Struthio camelus: one gene and its partners. The protein of the gene in region 2 binds, or shares a complex with, the protein of the main gene of each other region. Links are inferred from orthologs where the notes say so. Each region holds a gene or a part of one and is shown on either strand. Other genes may lie near its edges. The genes, in order: MECOM, RBBP4, ZNF512B and BPTF.

The links.
Region 1: the proteins of RBBP4 (region 2) and MECOM are in contact, whole or in part, in a crystal structure (PDB 6BW3), measured with the Homo sapiens proteins. The link is inferred for Struthio camelus from reciprocal best matches to the Homo sapiens genes RBBP4 and MECOM. Residues at the interface, in NP_005601.1 of Homo sapiens: Ala39, Leu40, Glu41, Trp42, Pro43, Leu45, His71, Thr72, Ser73, Asp74, Glu75, Glu126, Asn128, Arg129, Glu179, Tyr181, Asp198, Val229, Glu231, Asp248, Glu275, Asn277, Phe321, Glu395, Asn397; in NP_001353395.1 of Homo sapiens: Met1, Arg2, Lys4, Gly5, Arg6, Ala7, Arg8, Lys9, Leu10.
Region 3: the proteins of RBBP4 (region 2) and ZNF512B are in contact, whole or in part, in a crystal structure (PDB 8TX8), measured with the Homo sapiens proteins. The link is inferred for Struthio camelus from reciprocal best matches to the Homo sapiens genes RBBP4 and ZNF512B. Residues at the interface, in NP_005601.1 of Homo sapiens: Ala39, Leu40, Glu41, Trp42, Pro43, Leu45, His71, Thr72, Ser73, Glu126, Asn128, Arg129, Pro145, Glu179, Tyr181, Glu231, Asp248, Glu275, Asn277, Asp318, Glu319, Phe321, Thr338, Lys376, Glu395, Asn397; in NP_065764.1 of Homo sapiens: Lys419, His420, Arg421, Arg422, Lys423, Gln424, Pro427, Lys428, Lys429, Phe430.
Region 4: RBBP4 (region 2) and BPTF share a complex: the UniProt entries of both Homo sapiens proteins name them as parts of the BPFT-SMARCA1 complex. The link is inferred for Struthio camelus from reciprocal best matches to the Homo sapiens genes RBBP4 and BPTF.

What each region holds. Positions count from the first base shown.
Region 1 is NC_090950.1:28,162,120-28,170,035, reverse strand, and holds the start of MECOM (histone-lysine N-methyltransferase MECOM), read right to left. Parts: upstream 3,010-7,916; 5' UTR 2,828-3,009; coding exon 2,791-2,827; exon of another isoform or gene 2,787-2,790; intron 1-2,786.
Region 2 is NC_090964.1:8,465,245-8,472,358, reverse strand, and holds the start of RBBP4 (histone-binding protein RBBP4), read left to right. Parts: upstream 1-4,104; 5' UTR 4,105-4,262; coding exon 4,263-4,278; intron 4,279-4,455; exon of another isoform or gene 4,456-4,949; intron 4,950-5,361; coding exon 5,362-5,509; intron 5,510-6,232; coding exon 6,233-6,378; intron 6,379-7,114. Other genes in the region: ZBTB8OS (protein archease), read right to left, coding at 630-654, 2,112-2,199. UniProt on the Homo sapiens protein: Core histone-binding subunit that may target chromatin assembly factors, chromatin remodeling factors and histone deacetylases to their histone substrates in a manner that is regulated by nucleosomal DNA.
Region 3 is NC_090959.1:17,626,141-17,633,102, reverse strand, and holds the start of ZNF512B (zinc finger protein 512B), read right to left. Parts: upstream 3,013-6,962; 5' UTR 2,953-3,012; intron 2,469-2,952; exon of another isoform or gene 259-2,468; 5' UTR 127-258; coding exon of another isoform or gene 120-126; intron 1-119. UniProt on the Homo sapiens protein: Involved in transcriptional regulation by repressing gene expression. Associates with the nucleosome remodeling and histone deacetylase (NuRD) complex, which promotes transcriptional repression by histone deacetylation and nucleosome remodeling.
Region 4 is NC_090960.1:4,481,998-4,489,464, reverse strand, and holds the start of BPTF (nucleosome-remodeling factor subunit BPTF), read right to left. Parts: upstream 3,005-7,467; 5' UTR 2,771-3,004; coding exon 2,131-2,770; intron 1-2,130. UniProt on the Homo sapiens protein: Regulatory subunit of the ATP-dependent NURF-1 and NURF-5 ISWI chromatin remodeling complexes, which form ordered nucleosome arrays on chromatin and facilitate access to DNA during DNA-templated processes such as DNA replication, transcription, and repair.

The DNA of each region.
Region 1 (7,916 bases), on a different chromosome or scaffold from region 2:
GTGATAAAGTGTAAAAGTAACAAGTGCCTCCTTATTCACGTGTGTTCCCCTAATCTGATCACCTTCTGTCTCTTTATGAGGCTACTGGGTGGCTCGGGGCTACCCCTAGGCTGGCTGCAGGGATCCGGCAGCGTGCGGGCTTGCGGCGGACCCGTGCTGGGGCGGGGGTTATTCAGGGATACGATTTCATCAGGCGGGCACAAACTCAGCAGAGCAGAAGAGCAGCTGCCCCGGGTGCAGGGGTCCTGCCCCAGCGGAGCTCGGAGCGGGGCCGCCGCACAGGTGCAGCGCGGCTGCGGGCGGCCGGGCCCCGCACGCCGGCCCCGCTCTGCCGCGCCGCCGGGCCGCGCTCCGCACACCGCTCCTCAGCAGCCTGCCTTCCAAAAGTGTGGGAGAGAGAAAGATTTTACCTCGTCTTCTCCCTTATTTTTGCAGCCGAGCATTTAGAAAATTAACTGGCTACTCCCAGCGTGGCTTCTTTTGTTTTTTCTGATTTTTTTTTGGGGGGGAGGGGATCCTTTAAATTATTTTTTCAATTTTACACAGAGGCTAAGAAATTGCGCTCTTCAGGTATTCTCCCTTAATTGCAAGCAAAAAGCTTTCCTGAATACTAGCGAAAAATCACACAATCGGGGCGTTTTTTACTTCACGCACAAAGAAGTAAAAGTGAAATAATAAAAGAATTGCATTTGATCCCAATTTATATGATTTTCCATGTAATAGCGTGAAGGCTACAAAACATTTTCTATTCACAGCCCAGAAAGAACGAATTGAAAAACTGAAAACTTTTCTTGCTGAACGACTAAATTCCAGGGTCGCCTACAACCCTCCTTCCACTTGCCATGAAACTGAGACGCTCTTCAGGGGAAAAGAAACAGTGTTTCAAAATACAAAAATCCCAGCTTTTTAAATATGATTTCCTTTATGAGCGGATTGTAACTGAAGGATTATATAATGCAACGCATCTGTCTGGGGGAAACTGCTGTTGCAGCAGCGAAAGCCAAGACATGCAGCCCAAAGAAGAAACTTTTTTTTTGTGTAAATGGCCAAATCTATCCCTGCAGAGCAGCGGCAGCAAGAGCAGCCTTGCAACGTTATACATGAAAGAAAAGGAAGGGAAAGAAAAGAAATCCTGACGGTTTGGTAGGGGACGTGTCACTCTTTTTACATAATTAGCCCAAAAGTAAGGTTGGCAACCTGGAGATTTAATAACATATTTGTATTCAAATCGCCTTGCGCTGGATTATCCACTTTTAAATCACCTAATCAAATGCAGGTTGTTGCTGTTATTGTTAAGCTTCAAAGAAAAGCTGATGATGATCCAGAGATATTTTGCTTCCCCTTTTCCACGCTGCTCTATTTTTTCCCTTAACAAATAAAGAGTAAATAAGCATCTGCTTTTTACGTCACGCAACTTATGCAACATTTCATCTGACTTTTTTTTTGCCTGCCCATTTTTTCAGTCGAGAATGTAAGCTGCAATCGGCATGAATTTCAAGCGAAGCTTGCCCAGATGTGTCAGTGAAAATAAAGACATCAGCTGCTTTTAAAATAGGACGCGAAAGCTGGCGAAGTTTTGTTGTTGCTTCCCTCTTTTTTAAAAACACTGCTGCAGTTAAAAGCAAAGATCCCTATCATAAAGGAGAAACAGATGGAGTGAGCGTAAGACAAATAATTAAATAAATCGGCATTTGCGTGTCGATGGCTGAGACCTAGCCTAGCAGAATAGAGACCTTTGGGCGGCCAAACTGTATAAAAAGTGCTGGAAAGGCGCCTGAAATTACAACATTTAGATCAACTTTTAACGGGTGACTCCAGCAGGCTGGGAACTGCTCCGCGGTGTCCGGCGGCCCCGCTCCCCCCGGCGCGGCCCCTTCCACGCGTCCACCCGGCGCATCCCGGCGGAGCGGGGCGGCGGCGGGCGGCTCCCGCTGGCCCCGCTGCCCCGCGCCCGGCCCCGCCGCCGGCCCCTCCCGCGGGGGCCGCCCCGGCTCCGCGCTGCGACCGCACCGCTCCGCGCTGCGCTGACAGCGCCTGCGGGGCTGCGCGCTGGGGACCACCAGGGCTCCCCCGTGCACAGCCTCCTTGCAGCACAGCGGGCTCCCCACGCGTGCGCCGCTCCCGTGTCCGCTTTGGCTTGATTTTACCCGGCTACGCATATATAAACATATATATTGTTTTTTAATATTTTTCTGGCACAAGCCGGCAGCCGACCAGCCCTCGAGGCGGGCAGGGCCAGGGGGGTCCCCGCGAGCTCTGCACCGGCAACTTGTTCCCGAGACTCGCCGCCTTCCCCCGCAGCCTGGAGCAGACCTGCCGCTGGCTCCCCCCTCCCCACCCTCCCGTGTGCATGGATGTACACACACACACACATATACACACACACGCACACACACACACACACACACACGGCCCCCAGCCCTTGCAGACAGCCGACAGCGCCCACTATAGGGCCCGGAGCCTCTCGCAACCCCCCCTTCGACCCCCCCCTCCAGCCCCCGGCAGCAGCAGCAACTTCCAGCGCTCGCCACTGAACTTTTCCTCAACTCCTTCCCCACCTCCCGCCGGGCGCCCCGCAGCCCCCAGGCCGGCTCCCGGCGGCCGTGGCCCTCGGCCCCCCGCGCCCGGGATGCTCCGCCGCCCGCCGGGACGGCTCCGGGGCTAAGGCCGGGGCCGGGCCGGGCCGGGGATGCGGCAGGTTGCCTGCGAGCTCCGCGGCGCATCAGACATATCATGCAACATGGCAGAGAGCGAGGGTGAAAAGCCAAGAGAAAGGGGTATTGCACCTACTTGCGGCCAGCTTCCTTGCCCTGCCTTTGGATCGCATGCTGCCAGTCCCGCGGCCGATGCTGGCGGGGGGGCCTTTTTTTTTTTCCTCCTGGAGCTTTTCCTCCTTTTTCGCTCCCCCTCTCCCTCTCTCCTCTCCCTCTCCCGCACACACACTCTCCCTTTCTCTCAATCCCGGCTCGCTATCTCTCCAGCATTGTCAGTTTGGACACCTTCGCACATGCGCACGGGCGGCTCCCCCCCGCTCTTCAACATTTCAGCGCCGCCAAAAAAAGTTTGCAGCGATCCATCACCGCCGGTGGGGACCCTGACAGCCGGCACCGGGGCCGGGCCGCGCCGGGGCCGCCGCGCCTGCTCCCCCGGCGCCGCCCGCCGCCCCGCCGGCGCACGGGGCGCGCTGCGCCAGCGGCCCCTGCCCCGTGCCGCGGGGAGCCGCCACCGAGAGCGCGGCCGCGGCGCGGGGGTGCTGCCGCCGCGGCGGGCAGCGCGCTCCGCGTGCCGGCGCGCCCGCGAGTCTTTACAGCGGGAGAAGTCTCTTTTGCTCCCGCCGTGGCAAGAGTAGGAGAGTGGAATAAATTACGCTTTCTTGCTGGCTTTTTATATAATATTAATGCTGCTCTGGCGTCTTTGCAACATTTAAGTAGTGTATTCTCATCCGGCCGCAATTATCATAGATCTCTGCGTATATATAGACGGGGAGATATAGTTTGATTATGTATGCATATCATTAAATTGTACACTTCTCCAGCGCACCCACTTTCCCCACCTTGAACTCGGCTCAGCTACCACCAGTTGGGCAGAAAAAGTGCTTTTAAAACAGTAACACCGACCGCTCTAATCTGTTTTAATTACAGGGCTTGCCAATCAAAGAGAGAGCGTGCTGAAATTGGGAACTCCTTTAGGGGATGGCTGTGTCCGAGGTATGAATCAATCCAAACTACATATAGATTTTCCTCTGGTACAACCTCCTTGCATTAAACAGTTTTGTTCAATACCTTCCATGCGCTATTTATGTTCCCATTAATATCTGTTGCAAATCCTGCCAGACACCATAAAAGAAAATTACAATCTTTCAGACTCGGTGCTGCGCCAGTACATACACGCTGCTCAACTTTTTGTTTTAATAAAATCCTCAGCATCGCCCCTTCCCCCTCCGCCCGGCTGCCCGTGCTGCGGATCGGGGCCGCCCGCCGCCCCCGCCCGCCCGCCCGTCCCCACGCCAGCCTTCCCCTCACGCCACGCCAAGTGGCCCCGGCACCCCATACGCGAGAAATACGCAGCTCCAGTGCCGTAGGGCAAGGGGACCATTTCTCACACGCTTTCCCCCCCCCCCCAAACATCCAACAGAAAGGCGCAAGTACTCGAACTCGCTCTGCAAAGCCGTCCTGATGCCCGTAATTATTTTTAATTTGCAAATAGGACATTTTTAGGATCACGCAGCTGCTGAGTGACCCCAGCAGTCGAGCAGGGGCTTAGCTAAAACCTCCCGCACCTCGAGCCGGAGGAGAAGGAGGAGAGGAAGGGCAAGACTGTGCCCCGGACACCCACGCTGGACTCAGCCCTGCCCACTGCCCCAAACACCTCATCCCCGTCCCTCTCGCAGATCTGCAGCCCCCGGGGGCGCCCGGCCCGGCCAGCCCCGGCGGTGAGGGGCAGGTGCTGCAGCTGGGCCCCCCTGCCCTGCACTGAGACGGCTGCAGGCGGGCTGGGGTTGCCCCCGACCGGCCGCAGGGCACAGGGTGGCCGCCGGGCACCGCGAGTGGGCGCTGGGGATGCTCGGGGCGGGGGACGGAGACGGCAGGGGGACCCCAGGCTGCCAGGGCTCCCCTTTGAGCGTGGGCATTTTCCGACTCTAAGCTTGCTCTCCTCTCTCACGAAGAGGACATTTCCGTTGGCTTCTTTAAAAGGGTGTCTTCAAAACGTCCTCCCGGAGCGACCTGCGGGCAAATCGAAAACGCTCGGGAACCCTGCAAAGCTTCCCCCCTCTCTCTTTTAAACTAAGCCCCTGGCGAAGCCTCTGCACGGGGAGAGGTGTACTGTCCTAGCTCTGCCGCGGATCCGCAAGTCAAGCCAAGCGGCAGCCCCCCGTACTTTCGATTGCTCTGCAAGCCCACCAGGGCTAACGAGTCCCCTTCCCCGCCAACAGCACACCCGCGCGGAAAGCACGCGTGGGTGCCTCGCGACGGCGGCCGGGCCGCGTCGTGCCGTGACGGCGCAGATGCGGCTTTCCCGGGCGGGCAGCCCTGACCCCGGCAGCGCCTGCCTGTCACCGCCACCTGCCCGCCGTCCCAGCGGCCCCGGGAGCCCCAGCAGGTGCCTCGCCGCCCTCCGGGGCACCCGGCCCCCGCCTCGGGCTGCCTCTCGGCTGCCTCCCGCCGATTTCCTGCCCTCCCGGTAGCCCCGTCCGTCGCACACCGCAGCCTCGCCAAGTTTGTCCCCCTCCCCGAAAGCTCCCTGCGAGACCCCCGGGAAATCCGTTTCATTCCTGCGGGGAGGCTTGTCCGCGTTTCTAGCCCTTAGCTCCCTCCTGGATGGGAAAGCGCTGCTTAGTGAAAGCCGGAACGGTCGGGCGTGCGTGGATGTGTGCTTGTTTTCAGCAGAATCATGGTCAACAAGATTTTTTTTTTTTTTTTGAGGGGAGGAATTAAACCTATTTCTAATTCATGCTGGGAGACCAAAAACACCCCCTCACACACAGGTTTCAATGCATTCTCTATAACAGGAAATTTTCTCTTCCTTGCATTATAATTGAACAAGCCTACTTGGAGAAAAGTTGGAATTCTTCATCGAGGTATTTGTTGTGCTATTGTCTTTGTGCAGTGAACTTTACATCGTGTTATTCAATCTCAATCTATATTCTCCTAGCTACCAGTAAGATTAATTTAATCATTGTAATGCAATTATTAATACTGTTTACCCAACGCTTGATTTCAGGTTTGCTGTTAAGAAATTAAGCTTCTTGCTGGGTGACCAAAAAGCTATGCAGGGATTTCCAGTCTACGTTGAAATGAAACAGTCCTCTTTATTTAGTCTCAGAACTCCAGCTTTCAGCCATGGCTCAATTAGCCAAAATGGAAACAATTTTCATTCATTGCAATAACTCACTGTTCTGCTGATCACTTTCAAAATATACACTTTATTATTATATGCTGACCTCAGTGCCGCGAAGTGGCAAGGCTAGAAAGAGGCAGAGGGATCTCTCCAGCCCCCTTGGGCTGTAATTATTAGAAATTAATTGGGTTCAGGACCCTGGGTAGCATGGGTAAATTAATAGCTTGTCTGGTTGTTTAAATCCGAATTCTCAGTCCACAGGAGAGAAAGGGAGGGAGGCTCACAAACGTGAAATCCAGCCCCAAGAGACAGGAGTTTGCTTGTGCCTGCTGAACACCAGCGCACAGCGTAGCCCGGCGAGGGCTGGGGGAGTGGGGACCCTTGGAGTTTATTTTCCTCCTCATTTTCGCCAATGCATTGTTTTCGGGGAGCTATTTAGGGGTTAAAATAAAAAATAAAGATCCTGTGTACTTGGAGCTGTCGTGCGGGAGTAAAAGTGAAAAGGGAGCCTTAGGCAAAAGGAAATTACTGCAAGCCCGCGTGACCTTTCCGAGAGGTAATCAATCAAGTGATCAACAGGGATATTTATCATTGCTAGATGGGGCTACTTTACAAATGCATAGAAGGGGGAGCACGGATATACACACACACACTCGCACGAAAGTTTGGATAAACCCGATAAACCTGAAGACAAATACGTAGACTTTAATCAGCGGGAAGATTGCGCATTTTCTTTTCTGAGCTCCAGAAGGAAAGGAAGGGAGAAAATCACTCGAAAGTTTCCCGGTAAAAAAATACCTCCTGTACTAGGCGGTCACATGGAAGCTGTCCACTTTGCTTTGCAGTCCTGGGAAAGGCTGGGAACGACAGATGTGATTAAAAAAATCTCAAATACAAGGGAAAATATTAGAGAGAGATTGAGGCTTTGATAAGCAGGGTCGGTGTTTGTTTTTATGTAATATGTTTTTATTTGCTGCCTTGAAACTCGGAGGCTGCGGAGCCCAGCGCTGCCTGTTTCTAGTCGCCGAAACGGTTAACTCCGAAAACAAAACAAAACAAAAAACATGCCCCCTATTATACGAAATCAGCGATCTGGTTCAATTAAACTTGCTCTCCGTAGCATAAAGCATCCACCACAATACAGGCAATGAAAACCAACAATAAAAGCAACATGCATTTTCTGCACAGTTTCCTTCTCCCTTGTAAAACATGCCGTCGTGTAAGCACCACACATTTAATTTTGCTTCCTATAACTTATCGGATTCCGTAACAAACCTATTCTGACCACTTATTTTTTTCTTTTGCACTGTGCTTCACGCCCACGCATGCACAAAGCCTCCCTATTTTCGTGCACTGCTCGCCCTCTTGTCTTTAAACGACTTTAAACCGGGGGAGCAAACGCCGGACTCCCCGGTGCCACCCGGTAACTATTATTCTACCACCCCTTGGAGAGAAGTTGGCAGCTAACAATTGCTGCGCGCCATCAGGGCGCACGCAAGCGGCCGGCCCGGGCTGCGGCTGCAGCGCGGCTCGCTGCGCGCAGAAAGAGCTGGGGTGCTGGGAGGCGCTGCCGGGAGCGCGGCTGCCGCCGCCGCGGCTCGGGCTCTCCCCGGCCCCCGCGCGCCGCTGCGCCGGGCACCGCGGGGCCCCGCGGTCTGCGGCGCCCCCGCGCGGCCGCGACGCGGCAACGCAGGGCCCCCGGGCCCTGGGCCCACCGGCTGGGTAGCAGCCCGCTCGCCCGCTCTCCCCCGGAGCAAGGGCTGCCCCGACAGTGGGTTTCTGCTCTCCCGACTGGGGTTCTGCGGCATCTCTCTTTGGTCACACAGGCCTTTGAGAGGATAGTTAAGACTCACATGTTGACAACTGTCAGGAGCAAGTAAGAAAATTAGCCGAGAGTGAATTTAACGGGACATTATGCATTTATAGTCCAATATAGACACTTGCCAGATAGCAAAACTTGCACTAAGTTTCCAGCAGACCTGGAATTATCATGTCCCTGGCAAGAGCATCCCTGGAGTTAGTAAGAATAGAACACATTCAGAAGTTGAGGTACAAGTACAAAACAGCAGTAAACAATG
Region 2 (7,114 bases):
GAGACACAGGATAATTCAAGGGACGGTAACCTTCCCCCCGCCCCAAGTATTATACAGGTGAGATATCAGAACATGAGAATAAACGCAAAGAAGTGAATGAACAAAAATGCTGGCCTTTCTATACCTATGCATTTGGGCAGAAGGTTTCACAGAGATATAGATAAAGATATATAGATACAGATATTTCTTCTTGCAGTACACGAGAAGAGTTTCTTCTTGGGAGAAAATGGAAAATAAATGTTTTACCAGATAACAGGAACGTCCTTCCTTACTATGGCTAATTGATATATATAAAAGTAGACTACTTGGAAGCAATTTGGTTCTAAAGCAAGGAGATTAAAAGCCCCATTTTGACAGACATTTCTAAATAAAATAGTAATGTAATAAAATAATAATCTGAAGCACCACAGGATTATTACATTGGAGGAGAAGCTAAACAACACAATGCTTCTGTGCTCTCCCAAGAGCAGAAACGAAACAGGCTACCAAAAAACCCAGTGCGAGTGTGGCATTTCATAGTTCCGAAAGGTATACATCTGAAACCAGTCTTCAATAGCCATTCCTGGTTTATAGCAATATAAGAAATAATTGATTTGTTATATTGTGAAATCCCAGCTGCCCATACTTACTGCACATCTGCTGTGTGATCCAGATCTGAGGGTGGAGGAAAAAGAAAAGGCATGAAGTCACCAAATGCATTTTAAAAATAAGGATTTTTTCAAAATAAAACCAGATATTGTTTTAACAAGAACTTTCTGTATTCATCTTGACACATCAAACAGTGATAATCTTTATTTTCCAGGATACTAGAAAAGGTTAGCACAAGAGAAATCTTGGATTGTTTCTGCCAAGCTTGATAGAAGAAAAACAGTGTTGAATATAAATTACATTAGTGCCCTGTGCGTAGAGCACTGTGTACAAGATATGGCCGTTGAAAGGCAACAGGGATCTGCAGGTTAATTGCGATAGAAAAAAAACTTTAACCAGGTATAAGCGAGTTTTGCTGAAGTCTGCAGGACCGAATACTAATTATGTGGAGGATAAGTTTTGCAAATGTTTACAGCTCAATGAACAAATATGCCTCTCCGCACCCAAAACACCCATTATGCAAAAAGGAGAATTTTAAAAGTATGCAATACAAAACATACAGTTAATCTTCATTAACAAGGTAGGATTAACATCCCAAGCATGTATCAGGTTTTACATGAACAGCATTCATATTCACTTAGATGAATGCCAGAAGTGCAAAATAATACCAGGTTGGTAGAAACAGAGCTAACTTGGGATGAAGAATGAATGCCATGCCAAGATCACTCCAGCTAAAACACTGTTCCGATGCTGCTTAGGTCACCCACACACTATTAACGGTTCTCAACAACTGTCTCTAAAGCAAACAAATTCCAGTGGATTTAAAAGGAGAATAAAACCTCTTCCAATTATGGAAGGAGCATGACTATTGTAGTATGTCACCGTATTTCTGCACTGCTATCAAATAAAGATCTAAACACATCCTAAAAATACATATTCTAACAGGGTAGCATACAGCATCCCTCCAGAGAAACACTGCTCAAACAGAAAGACGGTCAGACACCGAATGGTCTGCGAGAGCCTGAATCTAGCCCTTGGGCTGACACCCACTTACTGGAGAGGTTCTTAGAAGACGTTCCAGGGGTGGGGAAAGGGAGAGAGAATGATCTTTTAGTAGCGCATGTAGGAAAAAAAAGAGCAGCAGCACCAAAGACCGACCCGCTCTTTGAATATCTCTTTTTATATAAGAGAGGTAGAGAAAAACGTACTACTTAGCTAAGAAATGGCTTGAAAGGGGAAAGTTTTCAAGCTAAGACTTATAACTAATTTATTCATATCATGATTTCTTTAGCACCCATGACAGAAATAGCATTTATCTGCAAGAAATACAACTTTAGATATCTCATCCCTATCATTCAACTACAGATGCATCCCATAGCCTGAATACAGGATACCAGCATATTAAGAAACCGCACGAGTGCCTAAAAAGCGGCATCCTGCTCACTTCCTTCCTCCTCCCCGCCCTCCCCCCTAATTACGCTGTCACACGTGCGCTCTGCCTGCGTAGCATTAGAAATACTCACATTCATACTTCTTCTTGAGCGGTGGGTATTTGGCTTTGATGGCCTTCTGCTCCTCTGTCAGGTTATAGTCCCTCTCATCGCCTGCCATAGCTGTTGGGCTTGAATAACAGTCACTCACTTCCTGGTCTCATGAAAAATGGCCACCTCCATGCATGCTTCAGTGTTGCCAGGCTTCCTGTGTGATGCTAGTAATAAAAGGGAAAATTCCCTTTCAGTTCAGGTTCTTCCACTTGATATCAGTTTGGCAACAGTTGTACACACACTTACATTTTTAAAACAAGATTTTAAATGCGTATCTTTAAGTTGTTTGCTATTAAAACTGTCACTGGGAGATGGGGGGAGTTTAGAGCTCAGTCCTCCACCACTTGCCTTACTAACCGATTTAAACATGCTCAGTCAGCGAAGCCAAAGAATTACAATCCTTACATAAAGAACGCACTTAGGCCTTTTCAAAGATCTCAGGCTTCCTTGCAGCAGGAACCATGTTTCAGCTTCTCTGTTGCATACAGCACCACGCATTTGATTCATTGTCAAATAATAAACTATTGTAATAATGAAAAATAATCAAACAGCAGTAAAATGGATTAAACTGTCACGCTTCACGTAACTTCTGCTCTTACTACATGTTACTGTTGAGCCTACTCAGCCCGCTAATGTGACACAGCAATCTGAAATATGCATTGCCTCCCAACCACAGGACGTGACAGGAGGAAAGATCTGTAGCCCTCAAGTATGACTTTTCTCTAGAAAAAAGCTTAATTACCTCTTAGGACAGGGACAGCATTTAAAGCTTCAATGCTGGCATCCACATGCATGGTAAATATGACTCTCATATAAGCACAGAGGTTTTCCTATATTCATTTGCTTGCAAAATTTGTCTTTTTTTTTTTTTTAAATAAAGAACTGTATCAATTCTCTGCTTAAAATTCTCAGACCAGACCCTGAGTTTCATACAAGTTTTTCATTTGTAAATCTATCAGACACAAACTTCATAATCGAATCAACTTCAGGCCCGTTAATTTCATTCAGACTAGACCTCTGCAAGTTTTCATACAAAGTGGTCATTCCTGCTCCTTCTTAATATTTTTGTGCACAGTAAGATTTTTTCACAGCTTCCCCAAATAATGGGAACGATAGATTTATAGAAGACACATAACACCACCAAGTCCCCCAATTTTCAGTGTAAGGGCCAACTTGCGGTTCTTATTGCCAGTCTTGGATATGACAAGATGGTACAGGCCTCCCAACTTCCATTTTCTGAGAAGCAACTAGGCCTATATGGGACAGAAAAGAGCTTGAAATTGGGAGGCTCGTGCTGCTCGGGGGGGGAACAAAACCAGGCGTGCGTACATTTTGATTTTAAACCTGTTCCTTGACTGTTGCCGGTCAGATCCACAACTGATCGTGCCAGGTTATCCGCGGCTAATCAGGCTTGGCTTATACACCGGTCTGGTTGTCTAATGGCCCGTCTCTGCAGGGATTTATGGGAAAAAAAAAAAAGGAAGTTATTAGTAATTATCGGCAATAAATAACCCAAGAGGGGGCAGGAGGATGCTCTGGAGGTTGCTGGGCCACCCGTTGGGGAGGAAGGGTTGTGCTGGGCCGGAACCCCCCACACAACGGTGCTCCCGGCACCGGTCCCGGGCCGGAGCCTCGCTCAGGAGCCGTCGGGGCCCGGTCGGCGGCGGGGGGGGGGGGTGAAGCGCTGGGGGGCGGCGGCGGCTCCGGTCTGCGTGCTGGCCCTTTAAGGGCTGAGCGAGGGGCGCGCTACACCCGCCCGCTTCCCCTCCGGAAAATGGCGGCTCCCACGGGAGCTTCAACAGCACCTTCCACTCCTCCCCCGCTTTCTCCCCGGCCCCCCTCCCACGTGACCGCCGAGCGCGCTCGCCTGCCCCTTGTCCCCGCCCCGTGCCGCGCGCGGATTGGCGGCCGCGGCCCGGCGGCCGGCGGCGATTGGCCGGCGTTGGCGCGCGAAGGGGTGCGCGGCGCCGGAGCGGCACGCAGCGGGGGCAGGAAACAATAGAGCCGCGGCCGGAGGGGTCGGAGCAGCGAGCCCGGCAGCCGGCCGCCCGCCTCGCCCAGCGCCGCCCGCCCGCCCCCGCCGCCGCGCGCGCGCACCGGAGCCGCCCCGCGCCCCCTCCCCGCCCCGCCATGGCGGACAAGGAAGGTAGGGCCCGGGGCGCGGCCTTCTCCCCTCAGGGCTCCGTGAGGCGCGGGGCAGCCCCCCCCCATCTCCCCCCCCCCAACAACGGCCGCCGGCCTGAGGGGAGCGCGCGAGGCGCGGCGGGGCCGCCAGGGGGCGCGCGGGGGCCACCGGGGCGTCCGCCCCCCCCCCCCCCCCCGCGCCGCGCCGTGAGGCGGGGGGGGGGGCCGCGCGGCCTCCGAGGCGGTGTCCCGGCCGCCGAGGTCTCTCCCCCCCCCCCTCCTCCAGCCGCTTGTCCCCGCGCCAGGCTGGGTGGCGTTTGAAGGAGGAGGGGACTCATTTACTTATTTTTATTTTATTTATGTATTTATTTATTTATTTCCCGAGGAGGGTGACAGCGTGCTGGGAGTCGAGCGGCCTGGTCGAAACGGAGCGGGCCCTCGGGAAGGTCTTTTTCGGCTTGTGCCCTGGGCGGGCCGCCGTGCCGTGCGCCTAGGGCAAACAAAGGGCCTGTCACGGCCCCCCCCAGCCGCGGTGCCTGGGTCCCCGCGGTTCGGGTGCCGCCTCTGCTCTTCAGCAGCGCAAACCGTAACCGAGCCAGACCAAAGGTCTGCTTAGACTTGCTTCGCTAGCAGAGGCTAGCAGCAGATGGTCGGGGAAACTGCGTGAGAGATACTAACGCAGAACGAGCCTTGGTAGGTTGCTAGACTTTGCGAATTGAGTAGGTCAAGGCTGCACCTGGACTGCTGTGTTTAACAATGGTTGCTGGACCTCCCCCCTTTACTCATCTTCTATGCACAAATCTTTGTTTCTGCAATATCCTGTGGCACGATATTCCATAATTTTGCTATGCTTCTTGTGTTAAGATGATGCAGTTTGACATAATCAAGGTTAGTTCAAAGCCGTATGTGTGGAAACAAAGATTATCGTGTGTAACGGAGGATTTTGAATGATTTAGTAACTACTCTAATAGAGTAGTGTACCAGCAAACCAGTGTGATGTTGTAGTTAGCTTGTTGTTTGATGTCCGCTCACAGGTTTGTGTGTATGTTTTGAACGTGTTCATAAAGGCTAACTTTATGCATTTAAAAAAAAACCCAAACTTTAGCAGCCTTTGATGATGCAGTGGAAGAACGTGTGATCAATGAAGAATATAAAATATGGAAAAAGAATACTCCCTTCTTATATGATCTGGTAATGACCCATGCTCTGGAATGGCCCAGCTTGACTGCTCAATGGCTTCCTGATGTAACGAGGTAAACTGGTCCTTTCATTTTTTTAAAGAGGAAGAGATAGGAGTAAATTTAGGATTGCTTGTTGTTCAAGTAAGACCGTATAGGATTGCTTTTGGTTTGAATCAGCTTTTTGCTCCCTTGCCTTACCAAGAGCAAGGTGAGGACTGAACACTGGAGAGAGAAGCAGTATAGGCATTTTTAATTTGGAAAAATGTCTTTATCATTGAGAAGGCACTTTCATTCATTTGATTTTTGGAGCTTTTCTTTTTCCAGCTTCACCCTACCCTTTAGAAGCAGAAAAACCCTCTCCACAAAAACAAGGGTGAACATAATTTCAGCACCAAAAGGCTGTGGACAACTTATCTTGTGCAGTATAACCATGGCGTTGTCCTAAGCTTCCAGACCAATGTTCTGCTTGCAGTTAATGTTCACATGCCTCAGAGTTTTACTATGGGAGCGTTGCAAATGCCTCTTAAAAGAAGGCAAGGGAATGGTGGGGATCTGTTTCTGATATTTAGAGATAGGGACTGTGCTATGAGACTTACAAGTTGAGATCTGTCTGGAGTTAGAGTAAGTGATCTTCCTCAGAAGGAAGAGGATTTGGAGCAGGGAGAGCAAGGGTAACTCTAAAAGGTGTTACTAGTGTTAGAAGCTGTAATCAACAAAAAAAAAATGTGTCGTAATAAGCTCAGTGTCTATGTAAACCCTTTCTTTTGTTTCTCATGTAATTCTCTTCTCTTCCAGACCTGAGGGCAAAGATTTCAGTATTCACCGATTAGTCCTGGGGACCCATACTTCAGATGAACAAAATCATCTTGTGATAGCTAGTGTGCAGTTGCCTAACGATGATGCACAGTTTGATGCTTCACACTATGATAGTGAGAAAGGAGGTAAGGGACAAGAGGTGCGAACCAAGTGGAGTTTTAACCATCTTTTCCTCCCTGTTTTAATAGGATATTGGTCTTTCCTTAGCTTTCAGGCAGTAAAGCACAGGTACTACATCTAAACGAAACAAACCAATTGATTTCTAAGCTGTACCCTTAATTAACAGATAAATGTAATGTATCATGTGCGTACATAATGTCTTATTAATATCATTTTGAAGAAAGGAGGTGGTACGCTTACTGTAAAAATACATGAGGAAAAGACCTCCCCCTTCCTTATCCTCATCATGCGTTGGCATTGAGTTTCATGCAGCGCTGATTATTATTCTTTTATTATTGCTTTTGTGTTACATAAAGTATTCTTCTGCATACGTGACTTTCTCACTGAGTTTATTTTAGATGAGTGTAACATTTCAAATGTTCTTCTCCAGTTTGAATTCTGCTGCCTGATATTTGTGCCAGTCCCTCTTGGATAAAAAGATGATTGTATTTTGTTCAGTATATCAGGCTTGGATTCTCTGCTTTCCGTAATCTTCGTTGGCTGTCAGCATTGCTACTAGTTAGGCATTTCTCATTTTTACTTGATTGAATCAATCCTTTTACATAATGAAAGTCCTTAATGATCCAGCCATTAGCTGTTCTTTTGACCAGAAGCCTGGATTGTGTGAGTGACGTTTTGATCCTTCAGATTCTTAGAGTTATTTGTGAACACAGTGTTGTCTAATAAATATCTTGTTTGGCT
Region 3 (6,962 bases), on a different chromosome or scaffold from region 2:
GCTGACACCAGACAACAGATTACATCCTGCGCCTTTAACGTGCTTTCGTTAAGTTTTGGTTAAAACCCTTTTGCAACTTACAGGGCAGGGGGGAGAAAAAGATACTGGCAGGTCCTTACTATGCATGGTGCGAGGACGCCTTACGCTCGTGCCATCGGAGCAGGGCGGCAGGCGGGGACGGGCCAGCCGGGATGTGCCGGGAGCACACAAACCGCCACGTGGGCTCACGGATTAACCTTCTGGCTCAGCTTGAGGCACCTGGGGCAGAAGTGAGAGGCAGCATTTTTAAAGCATCCCATTCCCGCTCTGGAAAAAAGCAGCAGACCAACACAAGAGGCAGCCAAGGATGAGCAGCGGCCCGCACCGGCGCAGCTGCAAGGGACAGCTAATGTCACAGTCACTGCGCTTTCCCAGACAGGCTATTTTCTATTACAAACCACTCCTACAGCGGTGTTGGGCTCTGCCGGCTGGGTGCAGCCGCGAGCGCGCCGATCGGCACTTCGAGCAACAGCCGGGGAAACCACAGCGACGGCCTGGAGAGTTGGGTCAGTCTGACACAGACTGAAAAGGGGGAAATAACTCCATGCATAAATGCACATCCATTACCTTGGATCAAGTCAAGAGGAGCGCGCACAGAGCTGCACCTGAACGCTGCCTGTTTTAGCTGAGCTGGCAGGCTGGCTGCCATCCGCCAGCGGCTACCGGGATCCCGCTGTCCCCAGGAGGCTCATATGGCTACAGAGGGGGAAAAGCTGCCTGCAGGCTTTGGACATCAAGTTCTCCTGCTGAAACTGCTGCACGGGTCCCGTTGCTAAGGGTACAGCTCGTGCAGAGCGGCCCCATCACCAGTCGATACGCTCCACTTATCGCTAATAATTTGGGCTCCAAACGGCCCGTGGAGATGCTCAGGAGTGGGTAATGCCAAAACGGGAAGCGGCTGGCACGTCGCTCCCTGCTCGGCGCAGGAGCTAACGGCATGCCGAGGCCGGCGGCGAGGGAGGCCGCGAGGACACTGAGGCTGAAGGAAACCCAGCGGAGCTCCCGATTTCAGCCGCTCGCCCGGTACCTGAGGATCTGCTTTGTCTCAGCGCCGATTACCCTTTCTGCTAGCCTGAGAGCGAAACCGCAGCTGCAGCGCGAGGAGTCTAAGGTTATGCACTAGGAGACACTTCCTAAGAGTAAAGGCAAGGAACAAAATCCGAGCAAAAATCAGGGGCTGCTAGTTCCCACGTTGAACATCCCCCAGCAAAGGCACTCTTCAAGGAAATAATTCACATCAAGTAAAAACAGCATAAAGCTGCTGTCTTTCAGCCAAGTGACTATTTCTGGGCGTGGGTGAAGCTTTTGATGGTTTAAAGTTTCTGTTTGAAACACATTAGCAAGTCCCTCCCCCTCGCCCATCCTAAGGCACAAAAGCAAACGGGAAAAGCACACACACGCGCGCGCAGGAAAAAAAACCCCAGCAGACAATGAGCAGCAGTAACTTCATCTGATCCCCACTGCTCCTCAGGAGCCGGCGCCCCTCGACGGGGACGTCCCCGACCCAGCCTGCCCCGTCCACCGCGGGTCTCACCCCTGCCGCAAGGCAGTGGCAGCGGGTGCCCGCTGCAGTGACCAGGGCGTCCCTGGTGCCCCCTCGCCCTGGGGCGTCCCGAGCGCGACGGGATGCAGCGCTCGGTCCTGCCGTCCTTTCCCTAGGCCTGTCGGGGGCCCCCCCATCTGCCTGTCACCTCCCCGGCTTGACCATCCTGTCTGCCTGTCACCTCCTTGGCCTGGTTGTCCCGTCACCTCCCTGGCCATTCTGTCCTCCTGTGACCTCCCTGGCCTGACCATGCCATCCGCCTGTCACCTCCCTGGCTTGGCCATCCCGTCCGCCTGTCACTTCCCTGGCCATCCTGTCCTCCTGTGACCTCCCTGGCCTGACCATGCCATCCGCCTGTCACCTCCCTGGCTTGGCCATCCCGTCCGCCTGTCACTTCCCTGGCCATCCTGTCCTCCTGTGACCTCCCTGGCCTGACCATGCCATCCGCCTGTCACCTCCCCGGCTTGGCCATCCCGTCCGCCTGTCACTTCCCTGGCCATCCTGTCCTCCTGTGACCTCCCTGGCCTGACCATGCCATCCGCCTGTCACCTCCCCGGCTTGGCTGTGCCATCTGCCTGTCACCTCCCTGGCTTGGCCATCCTTTCTGCCTGTCACCTCCCTAGCCTGGTTGTCCTGTCCACCTGTCACCTCCCTGGCCTGGTTGTCCTGTCACCTCCCTGGCCATCCCGTCCTCCTGTCACCTCCCTGGCCTGACCATGCCATCCGCCTGTCACCTCCCCGGTGTGGCTCTCCTGTCCTCCTGTCACCTCCCTGGCTTGGCCACCCCATCTGCTCATCACCTCGCTGGCCTGGCTGTCCCGCTGCCTGTCACCTCCCTGGCCTGGCCGTCCCGTCCATCTGTCACCTCCCCGTCCGTCCCCAGGTCCTGTCACCTGCCTGGGCCGGACCACCCCACCCCTCGGCGACCATCCCACCTGGGCCTGTCCCCTCTCCGGCCACCTCCCCACCGGGCCACCCCATCGCCTGTCACCTTCCTTGGCCAGGCAGCTGCCCCGCCGCCACCCCCCGCGCCCGGCCGTCACCTCCCGGGGCCTGGCGGGGTGGTGCCCCCCCCCCCAACCTCCAACCCCCAGCGGGGCCCCCCGGTGCCACCCGCCGCCGCCTGTCACCGGACGGGGGGGGGGGGGGGCCGAGCCGGGCGCGAGGCGACACGCGCCGGCGGGGACAACAACAACAACAACAAAAAAAAAGGGGGGGGGGAGGTAAAAACGAAGGAGGCGAGAGGCGGCGGGAGTTAACGGAGGGAAGGCGGCGAGGCAAAATGGCGACGTCGGCCGCGGCGGGCGCGGGCGGCGCGGAGGGAGGCGGGCGGGGGAGCCCGGGCGGCGGCGGCCGCGCTCCGGCCTTACCTGGGCGGCGGCGGCGGCGGCGGCGCGGGGCGAGGCGAGGCGAGGCGAGGCGAGGCGGTGCCGCCCGCCGCCCCCGGCTGCGGGCCGCCGTGCGGGGCTCCCAGGCGCGGCGACACCCGCCGCGGCGGCGCCGCGCTCCGCTGCCGCCCTCGCTCGCTCGCTCGCTCCCTCGCTCGCTCCCTCCCGCCGCCGCCGCCGCGGCTCATGCGCGCTGCCCTGCCCGGCCCGGCCCGGCCCGCCCCAGCCCCCGCCGCCGGCCCGCACCGGCCCAGCCGCCCCGGCTCTCGCGTGGCTCCGCCGCCGGGCCGGGCCGCGGGGCGGGCGGGGGGAACCGCCCCGCGAGGGCGGGACCCGGGCGGTGCCGCCGCCGCCGCCCCGCGCTGCGCGGAGGGTGGAGGGGGGTGGGGGGGCGCTGCCGCCGGGCCGGGCGGGCGGCAGGTGCGAGAGGACCCCGCGGCGGCCGGCAGCGCCCCCCCCCCCCCCCCGCCGCCGCCGCCCCCCGCCGCCCCGCTCCCCCGCGCGGGGGGCGCGCGCACGTGCCCGTCCCGTCCTGTCCCTGTCCTGTCCCGTCGTGTCCTACCCCGGCCCAGACCAGCCCATCCTGTCGTGTTGCATCCCGTCCTGTCCCGTGCCACGCCATCCCCTCTGATCCCATCCCGTCCTGTCCCATGCCACGCCATCCCCTCTGATCCCATCCCATCCCATCCCGTCGTGTCCCATGCTATGCCATCCCCTCTGATCCCATCCCGTCCTGTCCCATCCCATCCCATCCCCTCTGATCCCATCCCGTCCTGTCCCATGCCACGCCATCCCCTCTGATCCCATCCCATCCCATCCCGTCGTGTCCCATGCCACGCCATCCCCTCTGATCCCATCCCGTCCTGTCCCATCCCATCCCATCCCCTCTGATCCCATCCCATCCCATCCCGTCGTGTCCCATGCCACGCCATCCCCTCTGATCCCATCCCATCCCGTCCTGTCCCATGCCACACCATCCCCTCTGATCCCATCCCATCCCGTCCTGTCCCATGCTACGCCATCCCCTCTGATCCCATCCCATCCCATCCCGTCGTGTCCCATGCCACGCCATCCCCTCTGATCCCATCCCATCCCGTCCTGTCCCATGCCACGCCATCCCCTCTGATCCCATCCCATCCCGTCCTGTCCCATGCCACACCATCCCCTCTGATCCCATCCCATCCCGTCCTGTCCCATGCTACGCCATCCCCTCTGATCCCATCCCATCCCGTCCTGTCCCATGCTACGCCATCCCCTCTGATCCCATCCCATCCCGTCCCGTCCTGTCCCATCCCATCCCATCCCCTCTGATCCCATCCCATCCCATCCCGTCGTGTCCCATGCCACGCCATCCCCTCTGATCCCATCCCGTCCCGTCCCGTCCTGTCCCATGCCACGCCATCCCCTCTGATCCCATCCCATCCCGTCCCGTCGTGTCCCATGCCACGCCATCCCCTCTGATCCCATCCCGTCCCGTCCCGTCCTGTCCCATGCTACGCCATCCCCTCTGATCCCATCCCATCCCGTCCCATCGTGTCCCATCCCATCCCATCCCCTCTGATCCCATCCCGTCCCGTCCCGTCCTGTCCCATGCCACGCCATCCCCTCTGATCCCATCCCGTCCCGTCCCGTCCTGTCCCATGCCACGCCATCCCCTCTGATCCCATCCCATCCCGTCCCGTCGTGTCCCATGCCACACCATCCCCTCTGATCCCATCCCGTCCCGTCCCGTCCTGTCCCATGCTACGCCATCCCCTCTGATCCCATCCCATCCCGTCCTGTCCCATGCCACACCATCCCCTCTGATCCCATCCCATCCCATCCCGTCCTGTCCCATGCCACACCATCCCCTCTGATCCCATCCCATCCCGTCCCGTCCTGTCCCATGCTATGCCATCCCCTCTGATCCCGTCCCGTCCTGTCCCATGCCACACCATCCCCTCTGATCCCATCCCCTCTGATCCCATCCCGTCCTGTCCCATGCCACGCCATCCCCTCTGATCTCATCCCGTCCCGTCCTGTCCCATGCTACGCCATCCCCTCTGATCCCGTCCCGTCCTGTCCCATGCCACACCATCCCCTCTGATCCCATCCCCTCTGATCCCATCCCGTCCTGTCCCATGCTACGCCATCCCCTCTGATCCCATCCCGTCCTGTCCCATCCCATCCCATCCCCTCTGATCCCATCCCGTCCTGTCCCATGCCACGCCATCCCCTCTGATCCCATCCCCTCCCATCTCATCCCATCCCATCCCATCCCCTCTGATTCCATCCCGTCCTGTCCCATGCTACGGCATCCCCTCTGATCCCATCCCCTCCCATCCCGTCCTGTCCCATCCCATCCCATCCCCTCTGATCCCATCCCGTCCCATCCCATGCCATGCCATCCCCTCTGATCCCATCCCCTCCCATCTCATCCCATCTCATCTCATCCTGTCCCATCCCATCCCGTCCCATCCCGTCCTGTCCTGTCCCATCCCATCCTGTCACATCCCATCCCCTCACATCTCATCTCGTCCCGTCCCATCCCATCCCATCTCGTCCTGTCCCATCACATCTCATCCCATCCCATCCTATCCCGTCCCATCCCATCCTATCCCATCCTATCCCAGCCCATCCTGTCCCAGCCTATTCTGGACCATCCCATCCTACCCTAGCTCATCCTGTCCTGCTCCTTCCCATCCTATCTCGTCCCATCTCATCCCATCTCGTCCCATCCTATCCCGTCCCAATCCATCCCGTCCCGTCCCGCGTGGCCGGGGGGCAGCGTCGGAGGGGCCAGGCCCCGGAGAGCCACGAGCCCCCGGGCGGGCGGCTTCCGCGCGTCGCCCCCGGGACGCCGGCCTGGCTCTCGCCCGCCGGGGGCGAGGCGCGGGCAGGGCTGCGAGCGCCGGCCGTGCGGGCGCGCATTGCTCCCGAGCTGCCGTGCTGCCGGACGTCGTTTCTGCCTGTCGAGCGGCAAGCGCGGCCGAGGTGCCGCCCCGGCGCAGGCCGCCTCCGAAGGGAATACCGCGCGCGTGCGGGTCGCGCCGCATCTCCCAGCGGTTATGTAGGAGGGAGCCGGGAGCCGCTCGGGAGGACGCGGCCCTTTCCCGGCCCCCGTCTCCCGGCGGGAGCGGGGCTGCGCGCCCATGGGACGGTGCCGGGCCGGACCTGCCGGTCCCTGTCCCTCTGCGTGAGAGATGCCACCGAGGGCGCTGGCCGGCGGCCCCCCGCACGGCGCCTGCCTGGACTCGCACCCCCGGAGGGACCGTTGCAATCGGACGGATGCTCCCACCGGGGGAGAGGATCAGGCATAGTAGCAGGCGTGGGGTGAGCGAATCCCTTTTTTCCCTCCGGCGGAGGTGACGACGTGCAGCGGACACCGCCGGGACACGACTGCGTCCTGCACAAGCAAGAGGCGCGCGCGGGGAGAAGCGGCCTGCGCGCAGGCGCGCTTGCGAGCCGGGCTTCCCCACCCGGCGCAGCCCCGGCCTCTTTGCAGGCTTTCCCGGCCCGGGCGCCCGCCAGCGACGCGCTGGGCTCCTCCGTTAGCACCTTGTGCCGCAAGCAGGTAAAACTCCCCCCGGGTTTTTCCCCGGTTCCCGCGCCCGGCAGGGCTGGGGCTCTGCCCGGCCGACGGCAGCCGGCGGTGCACGCCGCGGCGCCTGCCCCGAACCCGGAGCGGCCTCGCCGGCCTGGGCGCCGCGTGCCGTCGAGGCACCTCCGACGCGGGAGGAAAGGCTCGGTCCTCCCTGCTCCCAGGCCCTTGCAACCGGGGGCTGAACATGCTGCATAACCGAAGCGAAAAAAAAAACCCCAAGTTGGGAGTTCCCCCCCCCACCGCCCCAGTTTCCCTCTTTGTCTCCCTTCCGGGGGGGGAAAAAGCTTAATTAATGTCTGCGGAGAGCATGTAAAGCGTTGTGTAATTGCTAGGTGTGACGAGCAGCGGAGCGGAGGGCGATCAGCGGGCTCGGGGCCAGGCGAGCCCTCCTCCGGCGTGCGAAATGAGG
Region 4 (7,467 bases), on a different chromosome or scaffold from region 2:
GGGCTTCGAGCCAAGACTGAACTAATCAGAAGTTCCAGTATATTGCCAAAACAACATAGGTGCTTTAACTATTAATCAGTTACTCAGTGCCAGAATACCATACACTCTATGGAATATTATGATTAAAATGCTTACATTTAAACTTACTTTAAAAAGCTAAAACTGAAGTTACCTTGATCAAGTGGAAAATAAGCATATAAATTATCAAAATGATTTCTGCTACTCAAATACCAATTAAGACTTGTCTACGCTTGCACAACAATGCACACAGAGATACTTTATTATTATTTGCCAGCACATTTCAAAAATCAAATACACCTGTATTTTGTAGAACTCTTTTTCAGCCTGGATTTTCACGTCAAAATATTTTCCTGACCTAGCCTCTTAAAGCGATAAAAATATTTTTTCCCTGACAAAAGCACCAAAAAGAGGTAGTCAGAATGAAAGTTACCACAACTAAACAGAAAATTAAGAGTTAAGAGAGAAGGTCAGAATTTTTCCTGTGAAGCTAGACCTCCATCTGTAAAGTAATAAATATCCAAAGGAATTCAATTTCATTGTAGTACATCCCTGCAACAGGTAAACTAGCACTAACACTTATTCCAGAAACAAACAAATAAAATTAATTCATTTAGTGACATACATACTTACTTTCAATTCCCTTAGGTTCCTAAGGATATGGATATAAATTTAAATATTTGCATATGTATATGTATAGTTACACACACCCAGTTTTTCAAAGGACTACTAGAGTATCAAATAATGGACTGATACCAGTAAACTCACTAAAACAACAACAAATGACACATTTAGTAGCCAGTACTTCCCCCTTTTTAAAAGTGATCTGCTAGCTACTCAAAACTACACACCTTAAAAAAAAAAAAAAGATGCAATGCATTTGCACAACCTGTTCCTCCCCCCTTCCAAGCTGGTCAAATACTTGTACAGCAACAGTGTTTGTTATCCTGGAGCCCAATTCAGCAACACATTCCCAGGTTATCCCCAAGTTTAACCAATGTCCTGGCTCAGAGACCAAAAAAAAAAAAAAAGAGAGAGAGAGAGAGAGAGAAAAGAAAATAAAAAGAAAACAATTAAAAAATTCTATGCCTGAACTCCATTCATTCTGGAATTAATTCAAATAAACCTAAAGTGCTTAAGTTCAGATAAAGAATTGTTGAGGCTTCAAACCCACATACCTAATGAACTAATTAAAGACAAAAAAGAATGCAGGCCCTGAAAAAAAAATTTAGCCCAAATTTGCCATTAGGTTAAAAAATAAAAAATTAAAAAAAAAATTTAATCACGATGTTAAAGACCTTTAAACCCCAATATGAGTTTTAAAGCTTGCCACATCTTAAAATAAATGCGGTGTTTAGAACCAAGACTTTTGACTCAACCTCCACCCTTTAATCTTTGTGTTTAAGAAAGCCTTATTAACTAAAACTAGGTTTACACCCTTGCAATGAGGCCCTGTGCACTTTTCCCCAAACTATAACAATGCAATCTCCATTTTGAACAATGCACCTCATTTCCCTCCTTGAAAAGCTAGTTTTGTCTTAAAGCCAATAAATGCTGCTTCCAGTTGTACCTCTGATTTCAAGAGCCTGCAAATTTTCAGTGTTTATGGGTTTTTTAGACTACTTCAAGTTGCATGTGCTTCTTTTCCTTATAACATTAAGTTACATTCCCAGGCACAAGCCACCCTCTCCTGTATATATTTGCAACCACTTCTTAGCAACGCATGCACCTCCTTTCCCTTGTTTTTAAATCCTAAGTGAACGCTCTATACACTTTTGACGTTGTTTGCAACACGTTCTGGTGTAGCACGCATTTCTGCGGCGACCAGAACCTCTATGCATATTCGCCAAGCATCCCCTCGTTGCAGCATGTATTACCCCTCCTCCTCCCTCCCCTGACTGCATGTGTGTTTGCAAGCACCTTCTAAGGTTCCCTGCATCCATGGGGTTGCCAGGCGTTAATTTGCATACCCCTCTCTCCCTGTGAGTGCTTGCAGGCATCCCTTACGATCTGCATGCATTCTTCCTCCCATGCGTGTACGTATTTGCAAACCTAGAGGGAGCATGTGGGGTGCCCTCGCCTCGTTTTTCGCTCATCCCACTGACTCTCTACCTGGGGTGCTGCTGTAGGTGCTGTGGCTCCTGAAGCTGCTCTCAGTGCAATAACTGGCATCGTCTTCATCCTCCATCTCTTCAGGGTAGTCAGAGTCGTCGTCGTCCTCCTCCTCCATGATCTCCTCCTCCTCTTCCTCCTCGGAGTCCTGGTTATCCTCGGGGTCTCCCTCCTCTTCCTCCTCGGACACCATGCTCTCCTCCTCCTCTTCGCTCTCATGATCGTCGTACACCACTTTGCTGATGCTCCTCCTGGACGAGGCAGCCCTGCCTTGGCTGTTGCAGCTGCCTCCTCCGCCTCCTCCCCCTGCTCCTCCAGCCCCGGCCCTGCCCCTGCCCTTACCGCTGCTGCCTCCCCCACCAGGGGTGCTGCTGCCGCCGCTGCCTCCCTTCCTCTTGCTGCCCCCCCTGGGGGAGGTGGCGGCCGAGGAAGAGGCCTGGGCAGCCCCGGCCCCCTTCTGCTTGGGCCCCGCCGTCTCCGCCTGGGCCGAGGTCGCCCACCTGCCGCGGCTGCTGCCCCGCTGCCGGGACCGCAGCCCCCCAATGGGGCCCGCCGGGGCGGGCGGAGCCGGGGAGCTCGCCTGAGTGCTGCCCGCCGCCGGCTGCTGCTGCTTGGGCGGCCTGCCTCGCCGGCCCCGCATCTCTGGGCGCTGGCCGAGGGGGGAAGGGAGGGGGAAGGAAGGCTCGGGAGGGCGCTCGGAGTCCGGACAGGCGGCTACGGGGAAGCTCCCCCCCTTGCGAGGGATCCGGACCGGGGAGGGGGGCCGCCGAGCTGTGAGGGCCGAGGGTTCAATCCGAATTGCCGGCGTCCCGCTCCGGATCGCCACCGGCCGCCATCTTGTTTCTTCGTCTCTGCCTCGGCTCGCTCCGCTCTGACTGGGGGAAGCGGCGGCGGCAGCAGGCCCCGAGCGCCTCACGTGACCGGCCGCGCCCAGCCGCCGCCGCCAGGGGGCGCCGCCGCCGCGCCGCCGCGAGAGCCATGTTGGAGCCAGCGCGCTGAGGCGGCTCCGCGCTCCCCCGCCACCCACCCCGGCCGCGCGCGCGCGCGCGCTCGGGGCTCCCGCCGCTGCGCAGCCCGCGCCGAGCCCCCCTCATCGCCCCGCCGCCTCCTTCCCCCACCCCCGGGATAAAGCTCCCTAAACCCCCCCGCCTTCCACCTGTCCCCAGGCTCTGCCTTCGGCCCCGCCGCGGGGCTCCCCTCAGCGCACGGGGGCGCCCCGCCGGCGGCGGTTCACCACCTCCCCCCGCCCCAAAACTGACCATCTTCCCGCTTAAATAACGACGCCCGTCACAGGAGCCCCGCCGCCGAGCTCGACCCGCCGGGTTGGGGGGGGGCCTCCCCCCTGCCCCGAGCTCAGCTGGCCGCAACTCCCTCGCGGGACAGCTGCGAAGGCAGGTAGGCAACAGGGCTCGTCCCGCCGCTCCGGCACCGGCCGAGGCCCCTGGCTGCGGCTCTGCCTTTTTGTTAATCCTGCAGAGCCGCCAGATCTCCCCCCCCCCACCTCCCCCGTTAGGCAGAAGCGAACAACACCCTCTTTACAACTCACCCTCGCCTGGCCACGGGCGGCAAAAAGCCGAAACGCTGAGGAAAACCACGCAGGACACACGGCCCCTCGCGTTGGTGTCCGGCCACTTGCCCCAGCACTGCTGCAGCACTGCAAGACCGAGATAGGCTGCACCTGCTTTGTATTCCCTCATGTGTTTCCAGTCCAGAGCCCCCAAAGGGCAACCAAAAAAGAAGAAGAAAAAAAGCCACCCTACAGAAACCAATTGCAGAACTGGGTTTCTAATACTGCCGTTGAATTCAGGGTATTGCTTTCCCAAGCAAAAGAGGTACAAGATGAAACCCAGCCCAAGGCATGAAAACCACTTGCATTTCCCACAACCAGCCCTTCTCCCTCTGCATTGGCAAAGGAGCCCAGAGAATCTAGTCTTCTGTTTAAGCAAATAAATGCCTTCGCGATGCACAACCTAGCACTGGTCACGCCCTGAGCATGCCAGTTGTACGTTCGATATTTAATTTAATTTGAATTCTTCCATAGATGTTTCTGAAGTGCCTTGTGTTCATAAAGTTGTTGCTCAGCCCAAGAACCTCATTAAACCCACAAACCTGCTGCATGCAGTGTCAAGCACGCAACAATGCCACAATGGCACCAGGCAGCAGGGTTTAACCTGATTTGCACTCTTACATCCAGCTTTTTATCTGCATCTCTTTTCCATTTGGTCACACTCTTTTATATTCAATAGTGCAGCTGCATAGGCTCAGAGCCATGTTCTAGACACAGTACCATCCAGACACAGTAACAGCGGTAGACAACATTGCTTAATTTAACTTACACCATTATACTCAATTTGTATTCTGAATCTTTCAAAGTTACCTTTAGTTTGCTTCCATCAAGTTGATTTTTTTAACCTCTCAAAGTTCCACAGTATTGTGGTAACTATTAAAATACATACTTACACAACTAGTCCTAAAGCATGCATCTGTGTGTTTATCTCCCTCTATGATCTTGGGGGGAAAAAAGTGTGAATTGTGCCATCTATGTATTGAGAATCTAGCAAAAAAAATCTAGTGTAGCTACTACAGAAAACATTCACACAGCCTGTAGCCTTAGGAGAACGTTAAGATCTGTGACATACGGTAGGTTTTGTGTACCTGTAGCAGATCAAAGGTGCTAAGAATCCTTTGTTTGCTTTTAAATAGCGTAAGGCCAAAATACATTGTTTCCTAATCCCACCTTTTAAGACTTGTTAGTCATTAATCTGGAAGTGCTTTACTGAATAGAACATCAGAATTATAATTTTATAGATGGGGAATGGGGATGCATTGACAGATATGTTAATTTTCACTCAGGACTGAAAAATTACTCCTTTCTAGAGCATAGCTTAGCACGGAGGAGGAGGGGAAAAAAAACCCACAACAAAACAACACACACAAATCATACAACCCCCCAACCTACTCACCTATCCTCGTCCTTTCCCAAAGACAAAACGCATCTCCATTAGGAACTTGAAGTTCACATATTAAATTTGCTAGTATAGTTAAATGAGCACATTTCTAAGTGAATACAGCAGGAGGAAAAATTTTAGGTAGGTGGTCCTAGGCTCCCTCCATACTCAAGATGGATGGAGAGAAAGACTCCTTTCAAAAGGCACTTTGGAAAAGATGAATAGCCTAGTTGTTCCAAGCTGTTGTCTGGATAGGTTCCTTTCTCCACTAGTAAAGGAAAGAACTTACGAACCTACAGTTGGATGGCATAAATAATCCAGCAAGCATATGCTCTTGCTTACATTACTGAGCTGCTTTTGTCCAGTCCTTCCCTCCAAATGTGTCACAACTAACACATACTAGGCACTGAACTTAAGTACCCTGCTCTAGAGTCCGTAACATGTATATTGGTAAGACACTGAGAGGTTGCTAAGTATTGTTAGAATAGAGCTCAGCTATAGACTAAAACTCAGCCTTAGAAAGCAAGGGCTTATGTGATTTTTGCTGATGTAATCTACATACTGATTGTAATTTTATTTAATATTACAAAATACATAAACTGTATCAATACACTGATATGCTGAATTATATTAACATTCAATCACATTATTTACAAAAATAAGTTTAAGTTGTTAACATCTGATCTGCTATTTTGGATGTAGACTGACAAACTGTCTTCACTGGGAGCTCCTATCCCCCGATAGCCCCTTTATTCAGTAGATACTTACACCTGTAATAGTGTCAACAAATGTTGCATTCATAAAATTTTGAGATTTGGATTTCACTTTTGACTAATCTAAAACAAACATATAATTTGGAATGTTTACGTTCTCCACATGCATAAACCTCAAGCTGTATAAAACAAGCAGTATGAAGCAGGTCAGCCTAACTTTATAGAAATTAAGGCATTCACCCTTTGAAAACGTATTTTTTAAAAAATGGACACCCTTGTAGGTAAGAATATTCTTATTTTAGTTAGGAGGTAAGTCATCTTGCTCAGAAAGTTTAACCTACTGCTGCCAGTGCCAAGAAGTACCACTCCAAATGATTCTTCAGCTGTTCAGTTTAGGTTTTTTTTGTTTTTAAATATATATATATTTCAGTCCTGACCTTTGATAAGAGTGGTGTATACAACAGGAAAGTGTTAATTTCCACTCTTAAGGCCTTTAACTGTGTGCATCTGTTTCAAAATCATACGGCTGAAGTCCAGTAAGTTATGCACCTAGTGCTTCAACCATAACAGTGTTATGTTCTAGCTCTTGCTAGAGAGGGGATGAAAATGCCAAGAAAATGCTATTGTTCATTCTCAGGCAACCTAAACCTTACAAAGGTTAAGAGTGCATTTATTCAAACAATGCTTTCCAGCATTTTGCTCCCAATGAAACTGGATGTCTCCTCAGTGTCCTATTATGTCAGCACAAGTCAGCACTCCCATAGAAAAAAAAAAAATCATAGATAAAAAGTTATTTTCAGCTAGGCCACTCTCCGTTCTAACCTAATGGGCAAGATATTTCTGCCAGCACTGCTCAGGAAGCAAGAATGGTAACTGCTTTTATGAATAGTATGGTCAGCTTAAAGACATGTCAAACTGAATCCAAAGTCCACTGCATTAAAGTCCACTGCATTAAATTTTACCTTAAGGTTATTTTAATACCTCTCTCTCCTCTTCCCCATGAGCTTCAAATTGAACACTGGTAACATTTCAAACAATGCATATTTAAAAAGACAAAACTATCTTGGATGCAATCTTTCAGCGTCAGAAAGCTTCCAAAGTTTCTAAAGCAAAAGTCTTAAAATACAGCTAGTTATACTGTAATCCAGTAACTGCATTCTGCAAGTCTGTGCAGGAGAGCATGCTCCTGAAGGGAGGTCTGTCTGCTTAAGAAAACAGTCTTTTCCTTCTTCAGCAGGAGGCAACCTCTGAGATAATAATAAGGATTGTAACAAGCTATCATATTAAATAACTGTACTTTGCTTCTTCATTTGAGGAAGGAATCTAGTTCCTGCCCTGTATCTCTTCCTTCTCTATAGCTGTAGACAACTTCTGGATGCAGGTGGTCTTATCAGAATGAGATTCACCAAAACAGCTTTAGATTATCACGGTATAGGGCTCGTAACTGCTAGCTGCCGCACAAACCTCCTGCACCCCCAACATCTCTGCTTCAGAACAATGTAACAAGGTTGGATTAGAAAAAAAAAAAAAAGGGGAGGGGGCACAAAATGGAGGTTGGACTAGAAAAAAAAAGGGGAGGGGGCACAAAAATGGTACAGTAAACTAATTGTGGTACTATAATGTCTAAGAGAGAGAAAGCAGTGCAAGTTAGGTACCAACCCTATACCCATGCTTAA